2 linked regions of the Anolis sagrei genome follow. The protein of the gene in region 2 purifies or fractionates together with the protein of the main gene of each other region. This does not show direct contact. Links are inferred from orthologs where the notes say so. Each region holds a gene or a part of one and is shown on either strand. Other genes may lie near its edges. The genes, in order: ERLIN2 and ITPR1.

Evidence for each region.
Region 1: the proteins of ITPR1 (region 2) and ERLIN2 purify together in Homo sapiens (affinity purification with western blotting, with the first as the bait; 4 studies listed by BioGRID). This does not show direct contact. The link is inferred for Anolis sagrei from reciprocal best matches to the Homo sapiens genes ITPR1 and ERLIN2.

Annotation. Positions count from the first base shown.
Region 1 is NC_090027.1:11,306,540-11,319,070, forward strand, and holds the start of ERLIN2 (erlin-2), read right to left. Parts: upstream 5,028-12,531; 5' UTR 4,928-5,027; intron 958-4,927; 5' UTR 943-957; coding exon 836-942; intron 1-835. UniProt on the Homo sapiens protein: Component of the ERLIN1/ERLIN2 complex which mediates the endoplasmic reticulum-associated degradation (ERAD) of inositol 1,4,5-trisphosphate receptors (IP3Rs) such as ITPR1.
Region 2 is NC_090022.1:45,929,271-45,941,609, forward strand, and holds the start of ITPR1 (inositol 1,4,5-trisphosphate-gated calcium channel ITPR1), read left to right. Parts: upstream 1-7,303; 5' UTR 7,304-7,678; intron 7,679-12,339. UniProt on the Homo sapiens protein: Inositol 1,4,5-trisphosphate-gated calcium channel that, upon inositol 1,4,5-trisphosphate binding, mediates calcium release from the endoplasmic reticulum (ER).

The sequences.
Region 1 (12,531 bases), on a different chromosome or scaffold from region 2:
TTGTTTTTGAATGTTGTTCTTTATTTAATGTCCTGATTTTAGAGTTGTTGATTTTTTTTTAATACCGGGACTGTGGTGCAGCTGGCTGGGAGTCAGCTGCACTAAAATCACTACTGGTCATGAGTTCGAAGCCAGCCCGGGTCAGAGTGAGCTCCTGACCAATATTGTGTAGCTTGTTGTCGACCTTTGCAGCCCAAAAGACAGTTGCATCTGTCAAGTAGGAAATTTAGGTACCGCTTATGCGGGGAGGCTAATTTATGATACCATAAAACTCTCCAGCAGCATGCAAAAAGAATGAGGAAGTACTCCATCAGTGTCACAAACGGACAGTGAAGCGACAGCTCCCCTGGTGGCCAGAAGCTGGAATGTTAAATAGCCTCTGAGTGTCTGTCTATATACGTTGTGTGTCTATGGCACTGAATATTTGCCATGTATATGTACATTGTAATCCGCCCTGAGTCCCCTGAGGGGTGACAAGGGCGGAATACAAACACGGTAAAATAAATAAATAAATAAATAGTTCAAAAGCAGAATAAATGAAACTGAAATTCATAGCAATTATAATTTAAAATGCATGGTCTTAAATTAAAGTCTAACAGTTCGGATTACACAATTTATTCAAAAGACCTGGATGGACTAAAAAGGTCCCAAGGATGGCACCAGACTAAACTTCCCAAGGAAGGCTGTTCTAAAAGAAGAGTTTTGTTACAAAAAGACCCCATGCTGTCTAGTTGAAGTCACAGAACAACGTGTCCTCGAATCTGATTTGGAAGACTGCTGGGACCAAACAACAGACAGCTAGATTCTGCAACTCACCCCAAAGACAAGCACGCACCTGTAATAAACACCAATATGCCCTTCTTCAATTTTGTGTATTGCAGAAAAAAGAGCAGCTGCCACCAGGCTGGCAGCTAGAGCTGCTATGGCACCCAACTGAGTCATCCCTGAGAGTGTAACCTGGGAGAGAGTAAGAAGAAAGGAAATCAGAGAGAGGCACAAAAGCAATAAAAGAACAATTCATCCCAGTGTATTATGAAACTCTGTATGATACCACAGTGTGTTCTGATTCATGATACACACAGAGAATCAATAAGTAAATTTCCTTGCTATCAGATGAATTCTGTCTTACCCAGCATTCTATCGACAAACAAGTGAGGTATTCTTTATAAGTTGGTAAACAGAGCACAAAAGATTGACCTAACCCATCATAAAACCCTGGCACCACCTGATGGGATATCATAACTAGAAAGTGGATAAACAGGAATTCCAAAGGCCAACAAACAGTGTTTGAGTAGCTCCCCCTGCTACATCACCCCAAGATCTCCAGATATATTTGATCTTCAACATCACCACTTTGTAGAGATTCTTAGACTTGTGGCCCAATAGTGTACATGTACAGGACATCCGATTTAGGAAGCTTTCTTGAAAATACTACCCTTTAACCTCCTTGAATGCCTTGGACCACAAGAAGATCAAATCAGTCCATACTCCAGGAAATAAAGCCTGACTGCTCACTGGAAGGAAGGATATTAGAGGCAAAGATGAAATACTTTGGCCACATAATGAGAAGACAGGAAAACCTGGAGAAGACAATGATGCTGGGGAAAATGGAAGAAAAAAGGAAGATGGGCAGACTAAGGGCAAGATGGATGGATAGTATCTTTGAAGTGACTGGCTTGCCCTTGAAGGAGCTGGGGGTGGCCACAGCCGACAGGGAGCTCTTTTCAGCCATATTGCTCTTACGCTGTGTATAATTGTGTTGCATTGTTTTTATCTGATGTTTTTAATTGGTGTTTTATTTGTGTGTTTTAATTGTTTTTTGGGCTTGCCCTTGTAAGCTGCACTGAGTCTCCTAGAGGAGATGGTAATAATAATAATAATAATAATAATAATAATAATAATAATAATAATACTGCAAATCTCAGAATTCTGCAGGAGGCAGAAACCGGATTTAAAGTGGATCCAAGCTCTAGTGCCTCCGCGGCCAAAGGGTTCTGGTGCCTCACCAAACTTCAACTCCCAGGATCCCATAGCACTGAGTCACCTCAACCAAGATATACTGCCTGAATATCAAACAAAAAGTGGGCACTAGAAACAATATCATACAAAAGCTGACTGGCACAGCCTGGGGATCAAACCCCAGGTTTGATATCACAAAGCAGCCCTTGCAATATGCTACTTTGCTTCTGAGTATGCATGCCCAGTGTGGAACACATTTCAACACACTAAAACAGTGGATGTGGCTCTTAATGAGACATGCCACATTATCACGGGGTGTCTGCACCCTACACCACTGGAGAAATTACACTGTTTAGCAGGTATTGCACCACCTGACATCCACTGGGGAGCAGCAGCCAAGAGTGAAAGGAGCAAGGCATTGACATCTCCAGCTCATCCCCTGTTTGGGTATCACCCAGCACGTCAACATCTTAAATCAAGAAATAGTTTTCTAAGATCTACAGACACTCGCTGGAACACCCCAGCAAGCGAGAGTCCAAAAGTGGCAGGCTCAAACCCAGAACCTCAATCAATGGCTCATACCAAATGAGAGACTCCCCCCTGGGCACACAGAAGACTGGGCGACTTGGAAGGCGCTGAACAGACTGTGCTCTGGCACCATGAGATGTAGAGCCAACCTTAAGAAATGGGGCCACAAAATGGAATCTACGACATGCGAGTGCTGAGAAGAGTAAACCACTGACCAACTGCTGCAATGCAACCTGAGCCCTGCCACATGCACAATAGAGGACCTCCTTGCGGCAACACCAGAGGCACTCCAAGTGGCCAGGACATTTAATAGAACATCAAGTTTGCAAACTTTGTTTTTTGGTTGTTTGTTTGTTTTTAATGCAATGCAACAGTTTTGGTTCGCTCCTGACACGATAAATAAATAAATACAATAGTGCTACAGAATCCTGGGAATTGTAGTTTTACAAGGGACATCATCACACTAGAGCATGGATCCACTTTAAATCCAGTTTATGCCTCCTGTAGGACTCTGGGGTTTGTTGTTTAGGGAGGGGGGCTGTAGTTTAGGGAGAGGGTTTGTAGTTTAGGGAAGGGGGTTGTAGTTTAGGGAGAGGTTTTGTAGTTTAGGGAGGGGGTTATAGTTTAGGGAGAGGGTTTGTAGTTTAGGGAGAGGGTTTGTAGTTTAGGGAGGGGGCTGTAGTTTAGGGAGAGGGTTTGTAGTTTGGGGAGGGGGGTTGTAGTTTGGGAGAGGCTTTGTTGTTTAGGGAGGGGGGTTGTAGTTCAAGGAGAGGCTTTGTAGTTTAGGGAGGGAGGCTGTAGCTTAGGGAGAGGCTTTGTTGTTTAGGGAGGGGAGCTGTAGTTTAGGGAGCGGGTTTGTTGTTTAGGGAGGGGGGCTGTAGTTTAGGGAGAGTTTTTTAGTTTAGGAAGGGGGCTGTAGTTTAGGGAGGGGCTGTAGTTTAGGGAGAGGGTTTGTTGTTTAGGGAGGGGGGTTGTAGTTTAGGGAGGGGAGCTGTAGTTTAGGGAGAGGCTTTGTAGTTTAGGGAGGGGGCTGTAATTTAGGGAGGGGGGCTGTAGTTTAGGGAGAGGGTTTGTAGTTTAGGGAGGGGGGTTGTAATTTAGGGAGAGGGTTTGTAGTTTAAGGAGAGGGTCTGTAGTTTAGGGAGGGTGTTTGTAGTTTAGGGAGGGGGGTTTTAGTTTAGGGAGAGGGTCTGTAGTTTAGGGAGAGGTTTTGTACTTTAGGGGTGGGGGTTGTAGTTTAGGGTGAGGGTTTGTTGTTTAGGGAGAGGGTTTGTTGTTTAGGGAGGGGGGCTGAAGTTTAGGGAGGGGGCTGTAGTTTTTGAGAGGTTTTGTAGTTTAGGGAGGGGGCTGTAGTTTAGGGAGAGGCTTTGTAGTTTAGGGAGAGGGGCTGTAGTTTAGGGAGTGGAGCTGTAGTTTAGGGAGGGGGGGCTGTAGTTTATGGAGGGGGTTGTAGTTTAGGGAGAGGGTTTGTTGTTTAGGGAGGGGAGCTGTAGTTTAGGGGGAGGCTTTGTAGTTTGGGGAGGGGGCTGTAGTTTAGGGGCGGTTGCAGTTTAGGGAGAGGGTTTGTTTAGGGAGGGGGGCTGTAGTTTAGGGAGAGGGGCTGTAGTTTAGGGAGGGGGCTGTAGTTTAGGGAGAGGGTTTGTTTGGGGAGGGGAGCTGTAGTTTAGGGAGAGGCTTTGTAGTTTAGGGAGGGGGCTGTAGTTTAGGGGCGGTTGCAGTTTAGGGAGAGGGTTTGTTTAGGGAGGGGGGCTGTAGTTTAGGGAGGGGGGCTGTAGTTTAGGGAGAGGGGCTGTAGTTTAGGGAGAGGCTTTGTAGTTTAGGGAGGGGGCTGTAGTTTAGGGAGAGGGTTTGTGGTTTAGGGAGGGGGTTGCAGTTTATAGAGAGGGTTTGTTTAGGGAGGGGGTTGTAGTTTAGGGAGAGGCTTTGTAGTTTAGGGAGGGGGTGTAGTTTAGGGGCAGTTGCAGTTTAGGGAGAGGGTTTGTTTAGGGAGAGGCTTTGTAGTTTAGGGAGAGGCTTTGTTGTTTAGGGAGAAGTTTTGTAGTTTAGGGAGGGGGTTGTTGTTTAGGGAGAGGCTTTTAAACTGCTCAACCAGACAGACTCTGGACCTCACCAAACTGCAACTCCCAGGATCCCTTAACCCTGAGTCACTTCAACCATTGCGCCCCAATGCTATGGAGTCTTGGGAGTTGTAGTTTTGCAAGGACCACGGCCTGCTGAGTCCTCGCCAAACTACAGTTCCTGGGGATCCATTCCATTGAGCCCATGGCGGTTTCAAGAGGCGTCGAGTTGCATTCCTTTGCGAGAACTCTGAACCCAAAGGAAAGCGGGAGAGGAAAGAAAGGGAAATGCAAAGAAGAGCCCTTTCCTCGGGAGAGAGGAGGGCAACGAGGGAGGAAGAGGAAGGGAAAGAGCAGCCGCCTCCACTCACTCACTCACTCACCACCTGCTCCGCCTGCAGCTCCTGCTCGCCCTGTGGCCGCCACTTCCGGGTTGTCGCCTTTGTGACGGCATCAGCCTTCGCCGCCGCGGCTTAGAACGTTCTGACGTTTAAGCCCCGCCCCTTTCCTCCCTTCCTCTCCCCTTAGGTCTCCAGGCCAGGCTTTCCCTTCTTCTCCTTCTGGCCTGAAAGCTAGAGCTGCAGAGGTTCCCTTAGTCTTCGAGTTGGGAGGGACTTCCAAAGGCCATCCAATCCAACCCCTTTCTGTCACAATTAAAGCCCTCCTGACTGATGGCCAGCATCCAGTCTTTGCTAAGCCCCCAGGGAAGGAAAAGAGTTCAGGATCCCTTAGCTTTCGAGTTGGGAGGGACTTCTAAAGGCCATCCAGTCCAACCCCTTTCCGTCACAACTAAAGCCCTCCCGACAGATGGCCAGCATCCAGTCTTTGCTCAAAAGCCCCCAGGGAAGGAAAAGAGTTCAGGATCCCTTAGCCGTCGAGTTGGGAGGGACTTCTAAAGGCCATCCAGCCCAACCCGTTTCTGACACAACTAAAGCCCTCCTGACAGATGGCCAGCGTCCAGCCTTTGCTCAAAAGCCCCCAGGGAAGGAAAAGAGTTAAAGATCCCTTAGCCTTTGAGTTGGGAGCGACTTCTACAGGCCATCCAGTCCAACCCCTTTCTGACACAACTAAAGCCCTCCCGACAGATGACCGGTGTCCAGCCTTTGCTCAAAAGCCCCCAGGAAAGGAAAAGCATTCAAGATTCCTTAGCCTTCGAGTTGGAAGGGACTTCTACAGGCCATCCAGCCCAGCCCCTTTCTGACACAACTAAAGCCCTCCCAACAGATGGCCGGCATCCAGCTTTTCCTCAAAAGCCCTCCCGACAGATGGCCGGCGTCCAGCTTTTCCTCAAAAGTTCCCCAGGGAAGGAAAAGAGTTCAGGATCCCTTAGCCTTCGAGTTGGGAGGGACTTCTAAAGGCCATCCAGTCCAACCCCTTTGTGACACAACTAAAGCCCTCCCGACAGATGGCCAGCGTCCAGTTTTGCTCAAAAGCCCCCCAAGGAAGGAAAAGAGTTCACGATCCCACCTCTTCCTCTCTCCAATTAGGAGCAAGCTGCTTTTTACATTCAAAGCAGGCTGGATTTATATTCAACTGCTATATATCACCCAGTTTCTGAATCCAGGTGATCTGCTTTGAACTGGATTATTAGTCCTTACTTAGGCGATCCTTCGTAGTCCGAGGATGATGGTCCTCCAAGTTCGGTATCCTGGGGGTGGGTTTGTAGGTGGCTGTGGAACCCTATTCTTGACCTGCATCTTCTCCCACAGTGAGGGCATTGGTTTCCAGGTGAGAGGCGATCCCGATCGAAGTTGGCTCGACGCACCTTCCTCTTGGCACATTTCTCCCTTTCGCCCTCCATTCGTGCCTCTTCAAATTCTGCAGCACTGCTGGTCACAGCTGACCTCCAACTGGAGCACTCAAGGACCAGGCTTCCCAGTTCTCAGTGTCTATGCCAGAGTTTTTAAGGTTGGCTTTGAGCCCATCTTTTAATCTCTTTTCTTGCCCACCAACATTGTGTTTTCCGTTCTTGAGTTCGGAGTAGAGCAGCTGCTTTGGGAGATGGTGCTCGGGCATTCGGACTGTAGGGGCAACGAAACCAAAATATTTCCCAAAAGGCAGAAGCCCCCTTTCCAATAGGGAGGGCAAGGATGGACACCACGAAAGTTGAATCCTTTAAACTGCAAAAAACTATTTATTATTGCGTGGCCATAGCAATAACGACAAACAAGCATACAGGGATGCAATCAAAGGGTTTGTCGCAACCCCCAATGGGACTGCAGAGCATTTATAGTAAATGGAATATACATTTTCATTGGTTTCCAAAGACAAATCATTTCATTGGTCTAAGTTAATTATGCAGTTGTTCATCAGTTGTTTATGATTTTGATTGACATTATAGCACACGTGGGATCCTAACAATGGCACAACTATAACATAACTATGGTTCATTGTTCTCTGACCATGACTGTATCTTATCTGTTAGTGTGTTGCAAACATGGCTTCAGAGCGACTGGGAAACTTGGGGGTTCTAACTAGCCAACAGCTAGCTGGTTTTGTCCGGATATGCTGTTATCCTTGAATAGTAACTTCTTTGGAGCACTGATTTCTCAAACAATCAGCATTTTCTGTGAACATAGGCCTACTGCAGAAATAGGCCAATATGGCAGTAAATCATGACATATGGGCATTGGGGAAATATCTGAAAATTCCCTTTTTAAAACCACGTCTCCTCCAGGACAACTTGGCCGGTCAAGCAGAGTTGATGGCGGAGGACCATCGCTTCAATGCTGGTGGTCTTTGCTTCTTCCAGCACGCTGACGTTTGTCCGCTTGTCTTCCCAAGAGATTTGCAGGATTTTCCGGAGGCAGCGCTGATGGAATCGTTCCAGGAGTTGCATGTGATGCCTTTAGACAGTCCATGTTTTGCAGGCATATAGCAGTGTTGGGAGGACAATGGCTTTATAGACAAGCACCTTGGTATCCCTATGGATGTCCTGGTCCTCAAACACTCTCTGCTTCATTCAGGAAAATGCTGCACTTGCAGAGCTCAGGCGGTGTTGTAATTATATTATATTAGTCCACACTGCCATAACATGAAGCCCGGCTGCTCATTGGAGGGAAGGATATTAGAGGCCAAGATTAAGTACTTTGGCCACATCATGAGAAGAAAGGAAAGTTTAGAGAAGACAATGGTGCTGGGGAAAATGGAAGGAAAAAGGAAGAGGGGCCAACCAAGGGCAAGATGGATGGATGGCATCCTTGAAGGGCCTGGCTTGACCTTGAAGGAGCTGGGGGTGGCCACAGCTGACAGGGAGCTCTGGCCTGGGCTGGTCTAGGAAGTCACGAAGAGTCGGAAGCAACTGAATGAATAAACAACAACAAAACTTTTTCACAGGCATATATTTATTGTATCTGTTTTTTACGTTTTGGCATTGACTTGCTACTAGTGTAAGCCGCTCTGAGTCCCCCTTCGAGGGTTGAGAAGGGCAGGGTAGAAGTGTTAGAAATAATAATAATAATAGTTGTTGTAGGGTTTTTTTGGGCTATATGGCCATGTTCTAGAGGTATTCTCTCCTGACGTTTCGCCTGCATCTATGGCAAGCATCCTCAGAGGTAGTGAGGGCTGTTGGAACTAGGAAAATGGGTTTATATATCTGTGGAATAACCAGGGTGGGACAAAGAACTCTTGTCGCGGTGGAGCTGCCCTCCACCCCGTCCTCATCACTCTCTGCTGGTTTAGCTTCCACAGCTGAGTGCCAACGCCCATCCCTCCAACTCTTCCACCTCTTGTCAAGACTTAGGTCTCCCCAGGATCCCACAGTATCACCCGATTGCCAATCCCCACCACCAGAAAACCCCGCAAATGTGTCACTGGACGTTGGTTGAGTACACACATTCTGAACCTTTTGTACCTTGGTCCAATCTAGTGCTTCCTCCTCATCCCCATCACTCCCAGACCCATCATTCCCAGAAAAACCCATGAAATCCTCTTCTTCCGTGGGAGCAGTAAGTATGTCCCCGATTTTCTTTCTCCGACGCTCTTCGTCTGACTCTTGCTCTCGAGTAATCCTCTTAGTTCCCCGATTCACATCTACTGAATCTCCTTCCTCCTCCCCACTCATTTCACTTTCGGAAAACCCCTCGAAGGATTCTTCATCAGTGGGTAATGTAAGCATCTCCCGGATCCTCTTCCTCTGTTGTTCCTCATCTAGTTCCTGAATTCCTCTTTTCCCTCCTCTGACACTCCTACTACCAGGGGCGGCTCAACCCATTACACAAAGTAAGTATTTGCAGTATAGTTGATTTTGCCCTGGGGCGCTCTTGAGGTGCTCTTGGAGGAAAATAGACCTTGACATATGCGAGTTGTAGTTACTGGGATGTATAGTTCACCTAAAATCAAAGAGCATTCTGAACTCCACCAATGATGGAATTGAACCAAATATGGCACACAGAACTCCCATGATGAATAGAAAATATATATCAATGATTGGTTGGGGGGGGGGGGGGGGGCGCCAAAATACTGTTTGCTTACCGTTGAAAATTACTTAGGGCCGCCTCTGCCTACTACCAGTTGCAGAGTTGCCAACAGACTCTACTACAACATGGACAGTCTTACCTTAAATTACAGTTTTATGTAAATACTAGCTGTCCCCTGCCACACATTGTTGTGGTCCACATGAGGGTTCTGTGCGGGAGGTTTGGCCCAATTCTATCGTTGGTGGGGTTCAGAATGCACTGTGATTGTAGGTGAACTATAAATCCCAGCAACTACAACTCCCAAATGTCAGGATTCTATTTTCCCCAAAGTCCACCAGTGTTCAGATTTGGGCATATTGAGTATTTGTGTAGAGTTTGGTCCAGATCCATCATTGTTTGAGCCCACAGTGATCTCTGGATGTAGGTGAGCTACAACTCCAAAACCAAAGGACACTGCCCACCAAACCCTTCCAGTATTTTCTGTTGGTCATGGGAGAACTGTGTGCCAAGTTTGGTTCAATTCTATCATTGGTGGGGTTCAGAATGCTCTTTGATTGTAGGTGAACAATCAATCCCAGCAACTACAACTCCCAAATGACAAAAGCAATTTTTTTGAGCAAAGGACATACATTGGGTTGTTAGGTGTCTTGTGTCCAAATTTGGTGTCAATTTGTCCAGTGGTTTTTGAGTTCTGTTTATCCCACAAACCAACATTACATTTTTATTTATATCGATTCAAAATCATTTAACCTACCGATGCCTCAATTAACGTAATTTTATTGGTATCTATTTTTATTTTGAAATCTACGAGTAGCTGCTGCATTTCCAATCCTCGGCTTATACTTGAGTCAATATGTGCTGTCGCACGCTGGGCCTGTGCATAAGACTGTAGACAGGACACAAATTCTGTGTGCTCAATGGGACGCCGAGGCTGCCTCAGATTAAAGGCCTTTGGATTTCCTTACAACAGAGTCTTTAGATTGCTTAAAGGTTCAACAATGTTCTTTATTGCTGAAAACAAACAGGTACTTTAAAGCTTTCTTAACAGTCTATTGGCTGTCTCAATCTTGTTCACTGGGAACAGGCACTATCTTCATAACTGTATACTAACTAATGGGGAAATCCTTAACTTCTAATCTGGGCAGTCTGTCTTTGCCTCTGTTGGCGTGGAGCCCCTGCACCCGGTACCAACTGCTTCTGGCTTCCGCAAGTGACCCTTACCAAGCAGAACTTTGTAGACTTCCAAGGTAAAAGGAGTTCAGGTTTCCGTGATGGCTGACTGAAGTCCCTCAGCAAAGGAGCTGTAAGGCTGTATGATCCTCGGCCAAGCTGTGGGCTGTATATCTCCCTGGCCAAGCCGTAGAAGACAAAGCTTTCTACAGGAGCATGGAAAGCTTCTCTGTGTGGACTGACCCAAAAATGGCTCCTATTCCCTCCAAAAACCCAAAAAGGCGGCGGGACCAGGGAACCTAACTATAATTGACAGGTGGCTTGCCCTATGATTGCAGCCAAAAGAAGCCACCTGTTCTGGAACAGCTGTTCCAGGAGCTCCAATTTTATTTATTTGAATTAAATGTTGGTTTGCAACATTTTTTGCAGCAGGGTAGCTTCCTGTTATAATTTGCATTCATAGGACAAGCCAGTCGTCAATAACAGTTAGGTTCCCTGGTCCCGCCCCTCTCTGGGTTTTTTTGGAGGGAAGGGGCCATTTTTCAATCAGTCTCAAAAAAGAAGTCAATGCAGAGGATGTACACAAACATCCTCCTGTGCAAAGGCTTCATCTCTTAAGACTTCCCGGGGGAGAACAGTTTTAAGAGCCTCTACAGATTCCCAAAAGGTTCCAGGGAAACAGCTTTACAGCCCTGAGGACTTCCAGATGGAATAACAGCTCTGCTCATCTCCAGCTAAGTGACTACAGGCCTGTTGGTATGTCTGCTAGGTTCTGAGATGCAGTTCAGCCGGTAGTGGACTCAAGTCAGTCAGGTTTAGGTTCACAGTAGCCTGGGAGGAGCTAAAAAGGGGAATTTTCCTTTGAGCAAAGTTTTTGAAGATAGTGCCTGTTTCCTGTAAACAAGATTGCAAGAGCTAATAGACTGACAAGAAAGTTTACAATTCCTGTTTGTTCATTAATAAAGAACTGTTATATTTAAGCTCAAGCCTCATAAAGACTGCTTAATAAGGGGAATTTTCCTAAAGGCTTCTTTTCGGGGCCCTTGGCTTCCCGCTGGATGCAAGCCTTACATCCTCTCTTAAAAGCACCTCATTTCGGCTCCAGCGGCAACAGAACACCACCTATCTGCAGAGTCCCTGAAACTTAGGACTACAACAAACATTCAATGCAAAGCAAACAAATTTGGAGCTCCTGGTACAGCTGTTCCAGAACACAATACGTTTTCCCAGTTTTTTGTGGTAAAATTTAGGCCTGGGTAACAACGCAAAAATTTGTTTCTAAAATCGATTTGTAATTGGGGTTTTTTTTTTGTTTCGATATTTAAAATAATTACAAAACTTTCCCAAAAAAAAGTTTTGGTATTTACGAAATTTCGTAAATATTTACAAAACATTTTGTAAAGATGGCGCCCTTTTTTTTCCAATATTTTTTCAATATTTTTTAAATTTAATTATTAATTTAGTAGAATAGGGATTAATTATTATTAATTATTATTAAGGAGGGAAGGCAGGCACTCACTCTGGCGGGCCCTCTCGCTCGCCGCTCGCTCGCCCCTCTCGCTCCAGCAGACAAGAGTTCTTCCTCCCACCCTGAACATTATTCCACAGATATATCAACCCCACTTGCCTAGTTTCCAACAGACCTCACAACCTCTGAGGATGCCTGCCATAGATGTGGGTGAAATGTCAGGAGAGAGTGCTTCCGCCCCTCTCGCTCGCCCCTCTCGCTCGCCGCTCGCTCGCCCCTCTCGCTCGCCGCTCGCTATTATTATTAATAGGCAATGCTAAGCAAGCTGGCCAATTGCAACATTCAGGCAGGAAGCAGCCAGACCATGAAGCTGCAAGGCCATTCGATGCTCATCAAGCTGGCCAGCTGCAACATTCACGCTTGCCTCCAGCAGACAAGAGTTCTTCCTCCCACCCTGAACATTATTCCACAGATATATCAACCCCACTTGCCTAGTTTCCAACAGACCTCACAACCACTGAGGATGCCTGCCATAGATGTGGGTGAAATGTCAGGAGAGAGTGCTTCCGCCCCTCTCGCTCGCCGCTCGCTCGCCCCTCTCAGCAAGCATCGGCAGGCGGCCATCTTACGTATTTCCGAAATGGACGGAAATACAAAATTTTTTGGCGCCTGCCGTTTCGATATTTAAAAACACTTCCAGGTTAAAAAAAATGTTTTGTAATCGTTTCGTAATTCAAAAATTAACGAATTTTTTAACGAATTACGAATTAACGAAACGAATTGACCAGCCCTAGTAAAATTAGGTGCCTCCGGTTATATTCGGGTCGGCTTATACTCGAGTATATATGGTAACTTCATTTTTATTCTCATAGGTCACAATGCTATAGCATCAAGTAGAAAATCTAATGCTTATACCCAACCTTTCCCCGCT
Region 2 (12,339 bases):
AAGTGGATGACTGCATTATATTTTGTAAGCACATATTTTAGGGTTTTTATATAGCAGTACATGTACAATTCAATTAAATTCAATAAATAAAAACATTTTCTAGATAGGCAAAAGGGACTTTTTAAATACTCATAATGAACAAAATGCACTCCTAAATGTATGAACAAATATAGAAGTGCAGGATCTCAACCAATAACCCATCATCTTTAAAGATTTAATCTATGACTTTGTGATGATCTTATGCATTTGTTCTTATATTAACCCTGTGACCTGTGATGATTTTATAGGTGACAAGCATAGCCTGAAAATGGGAAAGTACCATAGATGAGTGGTAGAATGTGTTTTTTGCATGTTGTAAATAAGGCCAGATAGCCTTCTGTCTGAAACTCTGAAGAGATAGTGTTAGTGAGGGATACTCACACTTGGCTAAAGCAAACAGTGTTCTGACCATATCATTCTTTAAGGCTTCACATCTAGCTTTAGGAACACATTTGGGTGCTTTTCTGCCATCTTCCTAGCTCTCAACCAGCCATAAATGCCATGGTGTGGAGGTGAATGCAACAGCTTAAAAGACGGGTTTGAAGGAGGAGATATCACCCTGATTCCACCTGGAAGAATTTTATTCTACACTTTCCTATGCCAGGATCTAATTAAATAAAAGAGGTACCCTATTCCACATTCTGCCGGATGACCTTTGTCCATAGCAACCAGTGCTTGGGAAAGTTATATTTTTTAGACTACAGTTGGCAAGACAGTCCAGGAATTCAGGAAGATATAAAATTTAAAACGTAAGGTTTCCAAGATCTGCAATCAGGTTTTTCAAGGCCACTTGGTACTTCAGAGCAAGACCTCTTAAACTTTTCCACTTGTGACCCCATTCAGTCCAAGACATTTTTCCGTGATCCTGAAATATATATATATATATATATATATATATATATATATATATATATAGTGTCAGTATTTGCAAGGCTTTCTAAACACACTGATTTTCTTTTTTGTGAAATACAGCTGAAGCATCTTCTGCAGAGTCTACTTGAAACACTCCACAACAGAAATGTGTAAATGTCTGAAATAGCCATTAGGTGGAGTTCAGAAAATGTTTACTCTTGACAATTTTTTTAGGACCTCAACATAGGGCCCATTTGGGGTCAGGACCTACTGTTTAAGAAGCAGTGCTTTAGAGGAGCTAATGGGAATATGGAATTAAATCTTGAGTCCATGTGCACTGAGTACATAAGCTAGTGGATTACTCGCTGTCTTCTTCTTCATCATCATCATTACCATCATCATTTGGTGTTGCTTTAGAAATAACTTTCACAGTAGTGGTTCATACTGTACAAAACGACTTTCAAAAGCTAGGCAAGGCAGTGTACAATCCAAGTGACAAACCACTTAAACAAGCAAGCTTACATTTAGATAAGATTACTGCTCTTGATTCAACAAGCACTGGATTAAATGAAGTGCTGTGTATTGTTAGCAAAGGTAGTTGCTGAGCTATAGCTGTGAATGCTTTGCTGGAAATTAAGGTAATCAAACATAGCCTGCTATTCCAAATACAGACCCTGCACATCTTAATCCACACATTTGATTCTCTTCGTCTGTGGGGGCCCTTTCACACAATGCAATCATAGTACTATGGTTCACTTTAACTGCAATGGGTCTATCCTATGGAATCCCAACATTTAATTTTGAGAAGGGGAATTTACACTTCTCAGGCAGGGAGACCCACTGTCTTATGAAACCACAAATTCATGTATTCCATAGGATGTAGTTATGCAGTTTGTGGAACCATAGTGCAATCACTGTGTAGTGTGAAAGGGTACCAAGTGAACTGACAAACTGACTAGTCTGCTTGTGACAAACCAGCATATCACATCCTAAGCAGAGAGCAGGGTAAGGTATTTTGACAAGGGAAATTTTGACAGGGGAGATATTTTGACAGGGGAAATAGGGCAAGAGAATTCAAATGGCCATATGCTGGTGAACATCTGTCTGTCAATGAATTAAAGTAATCATCTGGGTCTGCTTTCCTGTCCACTGTGATTATGCTGCACTGTGAAAGTTTTCTAGTGAAAGGCTCAAAAACAGATCTGCTATCCCCTTTTTGTGACTCTTCTTCAATGGAGATCCCTTCTACACTGTCCTATATTCCAGGATCTTATCCCAGATTATCTGTTTTGAACTGGATGATATGAGTCTACGCTGCCACATAATCTGGGATAAGAAGATAATAAGAAGATCGTGGGCTATAGAGCTATGTAGAAGGGACCATAGTTGGTGTGGAAGAGTGAGCTATTTTTCAAAGAAGTTGTCATAATAGGATCGTCTACAGTTTTGAATTAATGCAGTTTGACACCACCTTAATTTTTATGACTCAGTGCTATTCAATCATGGGAGTTGTAGTTTTATCAAGCTATCAGCTCTCTCTGCTGAAGAGTTTTGGTGGGTCACCTAACTACAATTCCTAGGATCCCACAGCATTAAGTCACAGCAGTTAAAAGTGTTGTCAAACTGGTGCTTATTCTATATTGTGGAAAACCTTTAGCTGCTGATTTCCTCAGACCAAGCTTCTATTAAAAGCACAAGCAGCAAAGTGCGCGCATGTGTGGGAAGAGAGCAGTCTGGTCTTTAGAAAGGATTTGGACAAATCCACAGAAGAAGGAGTTCATCAAAAGATATTGGCTGCAATAAAGACATTGAATGTTTGATGACAGGCAAAAATGCCAATACAACTTGGGAAAAGAGGTGTAAGTTTCTAAATAGTGGAAAATTTAGAGCAGATACAGACTGAGCCTCCCTTATATGGAAATCTGAAATACTCTAAAATTTGAAATTATTCACATTAGGTGGCTGAGACAGTGATACCTTGCTTTCTGGTGGTTCAATATACACCAACCTTATTTCAGGGACAGTGATCAAATGTTGCATAAAATTACCTTCCTAATACCTAAAAGATGTATGTTGTTGTTTATTTGTTCAGTCGCCTCCCTTCAACTACACCCAAGAGTATTGAAGGAACTAGCGAAAGTCATTTCAGAACCATTGGCAACCATCTTTGAGAGTTCTTGGAGAACGGGAGAAGTCCCAGCAGATTGGAGGAGGGAAAGGTGGTCCCAATCTTCAAGAAGGGAAAAAAGGACGACCCAAACAATGACCGTCCGGTCAGCCTCACATCAATATCAGGTGAGATTATGGAAAAGATTGTTAAGGAAGTGGTCTGCAAACACTTAGAAACAAATGCGGTTGTCACTAATAGTCAACACGGATTTATCAAAAACAAGTCATGGCAGACTAATCTGATCTCCTTTTTCGATAGAGTTACAAGCTGAGTATATGCAAGATACTCCACTTGGGCAGAAGAAATGAAATGCAAAGATAAAGAATGGGGGACAATGCCTGGCTCGAGAGCAGTATGTGTGAAAAAGATCTTGGAGTCCTCGTGGACAACAAGTTAAACATGAGCCAACAATGTCATGTGGCGGCAAAAAAAGCCAATGGGATTTTGGCCTGCATCAATAGGAGCATAGTGTCTAGATCTAGGGAAGCCATGCTACCCCTCTATTCTGCCTTGGTTAGACCACACCTGGAATACTGTGTCTAATTCTGGGCACCACAATTGAAAAGAGATATTGACAAGCTGGAATGTGTCCAGAGGAGGGTGACTCAAATGATCAAGGGTCTGGAGAACAAGCCCTGTGAGGAGCGGCTTAAGGAGCTGGGCATGTTTAGCCTGAAGAAGAGAAGGCTGAGAGGAGACATGATAGCCATGTATAAATATGTGAGGGGAAGTCACAGGGAGGAGGGAGCAAGTTTTCTGCTGCCCTGGAGACTAAGATGCGGAGCAATGGCTTCACACTACAAGAAAGGAGATTCCACCTGAACTTTCTGACTGTGAGAGCTGTTCAGCAGTGGAACTCTCTACCCCGAATTGTGGTGGAGGCTCCTTCTATGGAGACTTTTAAACAGAGGCTATATGGCCATCTGTTGGGGGTGCTTTGAACACAATTTTCCTGCTTCTTGGCAGGGATTGGACTGGATGGCCCATGAGGTCTCTTCCAACTCTATGATTCTGTAATTCATGACCTCATAGACCAGCCCACGCCAGAGCTCCCTGTTGACCGTCGCCACCCCCAGCTTCAAGGACATGCCAGTCACTGCAAGGATACCATCCATCCATCTTGCTCTTGGTCGGCCTCTCTTTCCTTCCATTTTCCCCAGCATCATTATCTTCTCCAAGTTTTCCTGTATTATCAATATGTGGCCAATAATATCAATATGTGGCCAAAAATAAATATGTAGTTTATTTTTGCCTCTATTATCCTTCCCTCCAATGAGTAGTCGGGCTTTATTTCCTGATGTATGGACTGGTTGGATCTTCTTGCGGTCCGAGGCACTCTCAGAACTTTCCTCCAGCACCACAGTTCAAAAGCGTCTATCTTCCTTCACTTAGCCTTCCTTATGCTCCAGCTCTTGCATCCATAAGTTACCACAGGTAATACTATTGCTTTAACTATGTGGATCTTTGTTGCCAGTCTGATGTCTCTATTCTTAACTATTTTATAGAGATTGGTCATTGCTCTCCTCCCAAGAAGTAAGTGTCTTCTGATTTCCTGGATGAAGTCTGTGTCTGCAATAATCTTTGTGTCTAGAAATACCAAGTCTGCCACTGCCTCCTTGTTTTCTCCCTCTATTTGCCAGTTACCAATCAGTCTGGTTGTCATAATCTCAGTTTTTTTTAATGTTTAACTGCAACCCAGCTTTTGCACTTTCTTCTTTCACCTTGATTAGAAGGCTCCTCAACTCCTCCTCGCTTTCAGACATCAAAGTGGTATCATTTGCATATCTGAGGTTGTTAATGTTTCTTCCAGCAATTTTAACTCCAGCCTTGGATTCATCAAGCCCTGCACATTGCATGATGTGGGTGAGAGTATACAACCTTGCCGTACTCCTTTCCCAATCTTGAACCAGTCTGTTGTTTCGTGGTCTGTTCTTAGTGTTGCTACTTAGTTATTATACATATGCATATGAAACACAAACAAATTTCATGTTTAAACATGAGTCCTCATCTCCAAGACATCTCCCAATAAGCATATATGCCAATACAGATATCTGGGAAAAAAAAGTCCCATATCCAAAGCATTTCTGGTCCCAAGCATTTCAGATGAGGGATATTCAACCTGTATATTTTAAAAAGCATTTGTTATAGATAGCCACTGCCAGAGAGAGTTTAAAAAGTGACAGATTCTTGGAAGATCAGATGAGAAATCCACCAGTGGTTCCAGTATTGAAAGCATTAGGTATTTGCACATCAATTGCTGGCAAGCATAAGATAGAGAGGCCGCAGAATTGTTCCCATGCCTTTCTGGCAGGATGGGAGTGTTTATTCCAATACCTCATAAGAAGAGCTAAGCTAGATCAAACCAAAGAGTGATCTAATCCATCATATTTAATACTTTTATCTACACCGTAGAATGAATTGAGTTTGACACCACTTTATCTGCCCAATGCTATGGAATCAACGGGAGTGGTAGTTTTACAAAATGTTAGTCTTCTTTGTCATAGTGCTTGTGACTTACCATACTACAAATCCCAAGATACTATAGCATTGATTCATGGTGGTTAAGTGCTGTTAAACTGCACTAATTCTACAATGTAGATGAACCCTTGGTTGAGACCCAAAGTGGTTTGCAACATTAAAAACAATGCAATGTGTTGTCGAAGGCTTTCATGGCCAGAATCACTATTGCTGTCAGTTTTGCGGGGTATATGGCCATGTTCTAGAAGCATTCTCTATTGATGTTTCACCCACATCTATAGCAGCAGGCATCCTCAGAGGTTGTGAGGTTTTTTGGAAACTAGGCAAGTGGAATGTCCAGGGTGGGAGAAATAACTCCATAGATATATAAACCCCACTTGCCTAATTTCCAGCAGACTTCACAACCTCGGAGGATGCCTGCCATCAGGGCCGTAGCCAGAAAAAAAATTTCGGGGAGGGTTGAAATTTCAGGGAGGGTTTTTGAAAATTTGGGGGGGGGGGGGTTGAAACCTGCCTCCAACTCATGCTGAAGCCAAGAGCACAGCGGGGGGCAGAACAGCCTTCAATAGCCTGCAGCTCCGCCCCTGTCAACCACCTCCACCAAGTCTGGCCTCCTTGATGAGAGCTTTCATCACCCCCCCCCAACTTGGTTGCTTCACTACATGGGCTATTGCTGCAAGTAATGACAGTGTGAATAAATTGTCGATATTTGCTTGAGAGAGTGCTTGCAGTTCTGGAGGGACTCTTAATTTTTTGCATCTCATAGACTTAGCATGGGGATTTGGTTAACCAGTTAAAATTCATGAGCAAACCAGGTTTTTTTTAAACCTGAAAATTTTCGGGGGGGGGGGGGGTTTGAACCCCTACCCCCCCCCCCCCCGGCTACAGGCTTGCCTGCCATAGATGTAGGCAAAACATTAGGAGAGAATGCTTCTGGAACGTGGCCATACACCTCAGAAAACTCACAGCAACCCAATGCAATTGTAGACTCATAGAATCATAGAATTGGAAGAGGCCATCCAGTCCAACCTCCTGCCAAGAAAGAGGAAAATTGCATTCAAAGCACCCCCGACAGATGACCATCCAGCAATTTAAGAGCTACAATATATACATACTTTATATATCTTTAATTCAATCACTTAAAGCAAGCAAAACAATTAAAATAATGAAAACCCTATAGAGCAACCAAGAATAAAATCCCAAACACTTCTGGTCCCCAAAGTTTCAGATGAGGGATCCTCAAGCTGTATCTGTATCTAACTTCCTACACAATTCTCTCACTTTTTTTCTCTCTGGTCGACCCTGAGGTCAACGATTTGGCTTTCTGTTGTCATTCCTTTTTAAAAATACACACACAGATACACAATCACAACGGGGTTTCGATGCATATTACTCATGTGTGCTGCCTCGTACTGCAAACACTCACAGATGGTTGAAATTCTTGGCTTGTGCAAGGAAGCGGGGGAGGGATGAGGAGTTGTCAGTCTATATATAAAAAAAGTCTTGAGAGAAAGCTCCCAAATAAATGTCTCTTTGAATGAATATAAAACAAAAGGTGGGGGGGGGGGCGCAAGGGAGGATCTTCTCCACTCCTTTTATTTATTTATTTATGTTAATATTGGAATGTAGAAGGGGGGAGCCTTTGCCCGCCGGGGATTGGTTGACGGCAGGGAGAAAAGGCTCCTCTCGGCCAATCAGCGCCCCAGAAAGAACTTCGGCGTTCGAGAGACAACATTCCTTTTGATCTGATACACACTCACGCAGAAGAAGAAGAAGAAGAGACGCTGCTGCCCCGCTCGCCGAGACTCTGAAGCAGCCCACCCTGAGAGCCCGGTGCATGCTGGGAGCTGTAGTCCCCCCGCGGCGTTCCATCCGCGAGAGCGGGCGGGGGAGCGGGCCGGCCCGGACTACATTGCCCAGGGAGCCTGTCGGGAGTATATAATCAGCTGCAGGGAGCTGGCGAAGTGCAGTAACCATGTGGATGTTGAGCTAGCAGGGTGTTTGGCAGAGGCAAAGGGAGGCTGGCTGAGCAACCTCCATCCCTGGCGGAACCGGGCAGGGGCCGAAAAGGGGAATATGGGATTACCAAGAGGCTGATCAGTCACCCCAGGATTTAAGAGGAGTCCCTTATGCAACCAGGTAAAGCAATAGGGTGGGAGAGGAAATGAGGATGGGGTGTTTTCTCTCCTCACAGAGGATGTAGCTCTGGCTTATGGTGCATCTACACTGTGGAGTTAGCGCAGATTGATACCGCTTTAACTGTCATGGCTCAATGCTATAGGATCCTGAGGTTTGTGGTGCATCTACACTGTGGGAAAATGCAGTTTGATACCGCTTTAACTTATATGGTTCAACACTACGGAATCCTGGGGTTTGTGGAGCATCTACACTGGAATTATTGCAGTCTTATGCCGCTTTTACTTCTATGGTTCAATACTATGGGATCTTTGGGTTTGTGGAGCATCTGTGGGATTAGTGCAGTTTGATACCACTTTAACTTCTATGGTTCAACACTACGGAATCCTGGTGTTTGTGGAGCATCTACACTGTGGGATTAGTGCACTTTGATATCACTTTAACTTCTATGGTTCAACACTATGGGATCCTGGGTTTGTGGGGCATTTACACTGAGGAATTAGTGCACTTTGATACCAATTTAATTTCTGTGGTTCAACTGGGGTTTGTGGGACATCTACACTGTGGATTAGAGCAGTTTGACACCAGTTGGAACTGTCATGGCTCAATGCTGTGAAATCCTGGGATTTGTAATTTTGCATCTGTATTGTAGGATGAATACAGTTAAGTAAATACTACTTTAGGTGCCATGGCTGTATCTATACTATGGGATCCTGGGATGTATAGTGTTATAAGGGGTGCATCTACACCAGGCATGGGCCAACTTGGATCCTCCAGGTGTTTTGGACTTCAACTCCCACAATTCCTAACAGCCTATGGCTGTTAGGAATTGTGGGAGTTGAAGTCTAAAACACCTGGAGGGCCCAAGTTGGCCCATGCCTGATGTACACAGCGTAGAATTAATTTGTGGTCGCTTTAACTTCAATGGCCCGGTAGTATTATCGGATCCTGAGTGGTGGTAGTGCATCTACACTGTTGAATTAATGCAGTTCTGCACCACTTCATACTGCCGTGGGAGTTGTAGTTTTACTTTCTCCCCCTTTGCCAAAGATTCTTGTTGCCCCTCCAAACTATAACTCCCAGGATCCCATAGCAATGAGCCATGGCAGTTGAATTGGAGTCAAACTGCATCGATCCTACAGTGTAGATGCACTAGCTGTGTCCATTAAAAACCCATATTGGTTTGTGTGCCTTCCCTTTCTTACCAGATCACCCAGATGCCTGTTTCTGCAGCAAGGATTTGTAGGGTGTTTATTTATTATTATTTTGGAAGTAAAGAAAAGAAAGCAGCAACAGATTTTTCTTTATTTTTCTGTCTCTGTTCAATCCCCGCCCTAAGTTTGCAACAGTTTGTTTGCTGTTACTGTTTTATGTTACTGTTTCTGCATCTTTTTTTGTATTTTATGTGTTGCACCTTTGAGTGCTTTGTAAGCTGTCCCAGGTCCTTCTGGGGTATAAATAAATAAAGTTTAAATCTATTATTATTATTATTATTATTATTAACAAGAAAGCATTTGTAGCTGCAGGGAGACTTGAAAGGCGATCTTGGATTGTTATTGTTCATTATTTTTGGAAGGGAAAGATGTCCTTAACTGGCTCAAAAAAACAACAACTTCATGGCTTTGATGCAGCAAACTATAAAAAGCCATTTAAGGAGGATGTGAGTTGGGGTTTTTTTTCTGGGGAAAGAGGGAAAGTCAAAAAAGGGATTAAGCCACAGATGGTTCTGCCCAACAGGTAGGTCTGAATAGTCTGGTTACAGAGACATCCCCTCTTCCCTTGGGTTTCCCTTGACATCTTAAGCAGGAGCAACAGCGCCAGGGTTTGCTTTCTTGCCAGGTTGCGTTCCTTGGCAGCAAACTTTTGACATCTGGGGCCGCGACAGGCATTTCAAAGTTATTAACTCAATTGCTTTTGTTTCAAATGGAGCCGGAGAAAGCAGACAGCCCCTTGGCTCCGGCCAGTGTGGAAAAAGGATGCCTGTGGAAGGGTGGCTCAGGGTGCATCTACACCAGGCATGGGTTAACTTGGGCCCTCCAGGTGTTTTGGACTTCAGCTTCCACAATTCCCAAGTTGGCCCATGCATGTGCTATTTTGACATACTCATTTGCATATGCTTTCTGACTGGCCAGCCTCAACATTCTAGCATACTTAAGTGGCTGAGGGGGGAAAGGAAGGGGCCTGAGGCTGTGAGGAATGGGGGGAGTTGGAGTCCAAAACACCTGGAAGGCCCAAGTTGGCCCATGCATGAGCTATCTCGACCTACTCATTTGCATATGGTTTCTGATTAGCCAGTTTCAACATTCTAACAGGCTTAAGTGGCTGAGCAGCAAAAGGAAGGGGCCTGAGGCTGTTAGGAATGGTGGGAGTTGGAGTCCAAAACACCTGGAGGGCCCAAGTTGGCCCATTCATGAGCTATCTCAATCTACTAATTTGCATATGGTTTCTGATTGGCGATCCTCAACATTCTAACTTTCTTAAGTGGCTGAGCAGGAAAAGGAAGGGGCCTGAGGCTGTTAGGAATGGTGGGAGTTGAAGTCCAAAACACCAGGAGGGCCCAAGTTGGCCCATGCATGAGCTATCTCGACCTACTCATTTGCATATGGTTTTTTATTGGCCAGCCTCAACATTCTAGCATACTTAAGTGGCTGAGAGGGAAAAGCAAAGGGACTGAGGCTGTTAGGAATGGTGGGAGTTGAAGTCCAAAACACCTGGAGGGCCCAAGTTGGCCCATGCCTTATCTACATTGGAGAATTAATGCATTTCTGCTCCACTTGAACTGCTAAGGATCAATGCTATGGAGTCCTGGGAATTTGAGTTTGATGAGACACCAAACTAAACCATTTGTGAAAAATACAAGTCCCAGGATTCTGTGGTATTGAGCCACCACAGTTAAAAGAGGTGCCAAACTGCATTGGTTCTACAGTGTTGATGCAAGCGAAAAGTAGTTACCAGAAAATGAATTACATATTTTTAAAACTCCCTTTGAAATTGAGTTGATGGATTGAGTTGAGGGATTTAGGAGATCAGAGTTAATATGATGAAAGGGGTGACATTTTTTTTTAATCTGCCAGAGTAATGATTCTCAAGCTCTGGTCCTCTAAAGAATATGGGAAGTGGAAGGGTGCATCTCTACACTGTAGAAATAATACAGTTTGACACCATTTTAACTGCTATGGCTCAAATGTTATGGAATCATGGGAGTTTTAATAGCAGGCACTTTTTGGCAGAGAAGGCTAAAGGGGCTTCTAAGACCACAATTCCAACAATTCATAGAATCATAGAGTTGGAAGAGACCTCATGGGCCATTCAGTCCAACCCCCCTGCCAAGAAGCAGGAAAATAGCATTTGAAGCATCCCTGACAGATGACCATCCAGCCTCTTTAAAAACCTCTAAAGAAGGAGCCTTCAACACAGTCCAGGGCAGAGAGTTCCACTGCTGAACACCTCTCACAGTTAGGAAGTTCTAATGTTCAGGTGGAATCTCCTTTCCTGTAGTTTGAAGCCATTGTATCACCTCCTAGGATTCCATAGTATTGAGCCATGGAAGACAAAGTGGTGTCAAACTGCGTTATATTTACAGCATAGATGCAGCCAAAGCACCTGGAAGATCAACATGTGGGAAACACTGTTCCAAAACTTCCTTATGAAGGACAAAATAAAGGGTGTCTATAGTGCTTTCGCAAAAGCAAACTATGTACATGAATATCTTGTGGAGGTTATAGAGATGACTCTTGGAAGGGTCCGAAGGAGAGGTACACCATTATATAAGAGAGAAAAGAGAGCTCTTTGTTTTCTCTCCCTTTGCATGTTAACCATGTGAACAAAGGAAGAGGTGAAGTAAGAAGTGTTTTTTCATGCAACAGGACAAGGAATTTGTGTTATTATAGCTTTACTTTCCCTCTGTGTGAGGGGATGAGATTAAGTCTTGTTTCTGTAGAGTTTAATGTGCATTAAAGGTTTTATAATTTCTCTACGAGGAAATGGTGTGGCCTGGAGAATATATATGTGTGTGTGTGTGTCTATGTATATGTGTATGTGTGTGTGTGTGTGTGTGTGTGTGTGTATATATATATATATGTGAGAGAGTAAGAGAGAGAGAGAGAGATTATTTTTATGTGTAGGCAGCATAGTACTGACAGTTTTATTTTTAGTCATCTTCTTAATAAACCATAGCATGGGATTAGCCAATTTTTATTGCAATGGCACACCAAGATGACGTTTCTTTTTTCATTAAGTTTTTCCACCTTGATTCCCAAATTCTTTTTCTGAGGAACTTGCAAATGGTTCAGATTTCACCTCCCTCTCTCTCTCTCTCTCTCTGCTTAAGCCTGTATCTATATATCTATATATATCTGAGACTGCTTTACTCCATGTGCAGTTATAGTGCACCTGTTTAAAGAGAATCTCATTTGCAGTTTTATAGCCTCTTGATTCATAAAGATCCTTTTGGAACCTTTTCCAATTGCTTTTGATTTTCAGCAATAATTGGATGTTAGCTGCAGGTTTGTCTCCACTCTGAACTGCTTACCTCAGTCAAAAACAAATTAAATAACATTGCTCCCAACAGAAATATTTGCAGTTCTCTCCAGTGCGAAAAAGGTCTGTTTGCTCCTATTGCCTGCTACTTATTTGCCTGTTGATTAGTTTCTCATTCATAAAAT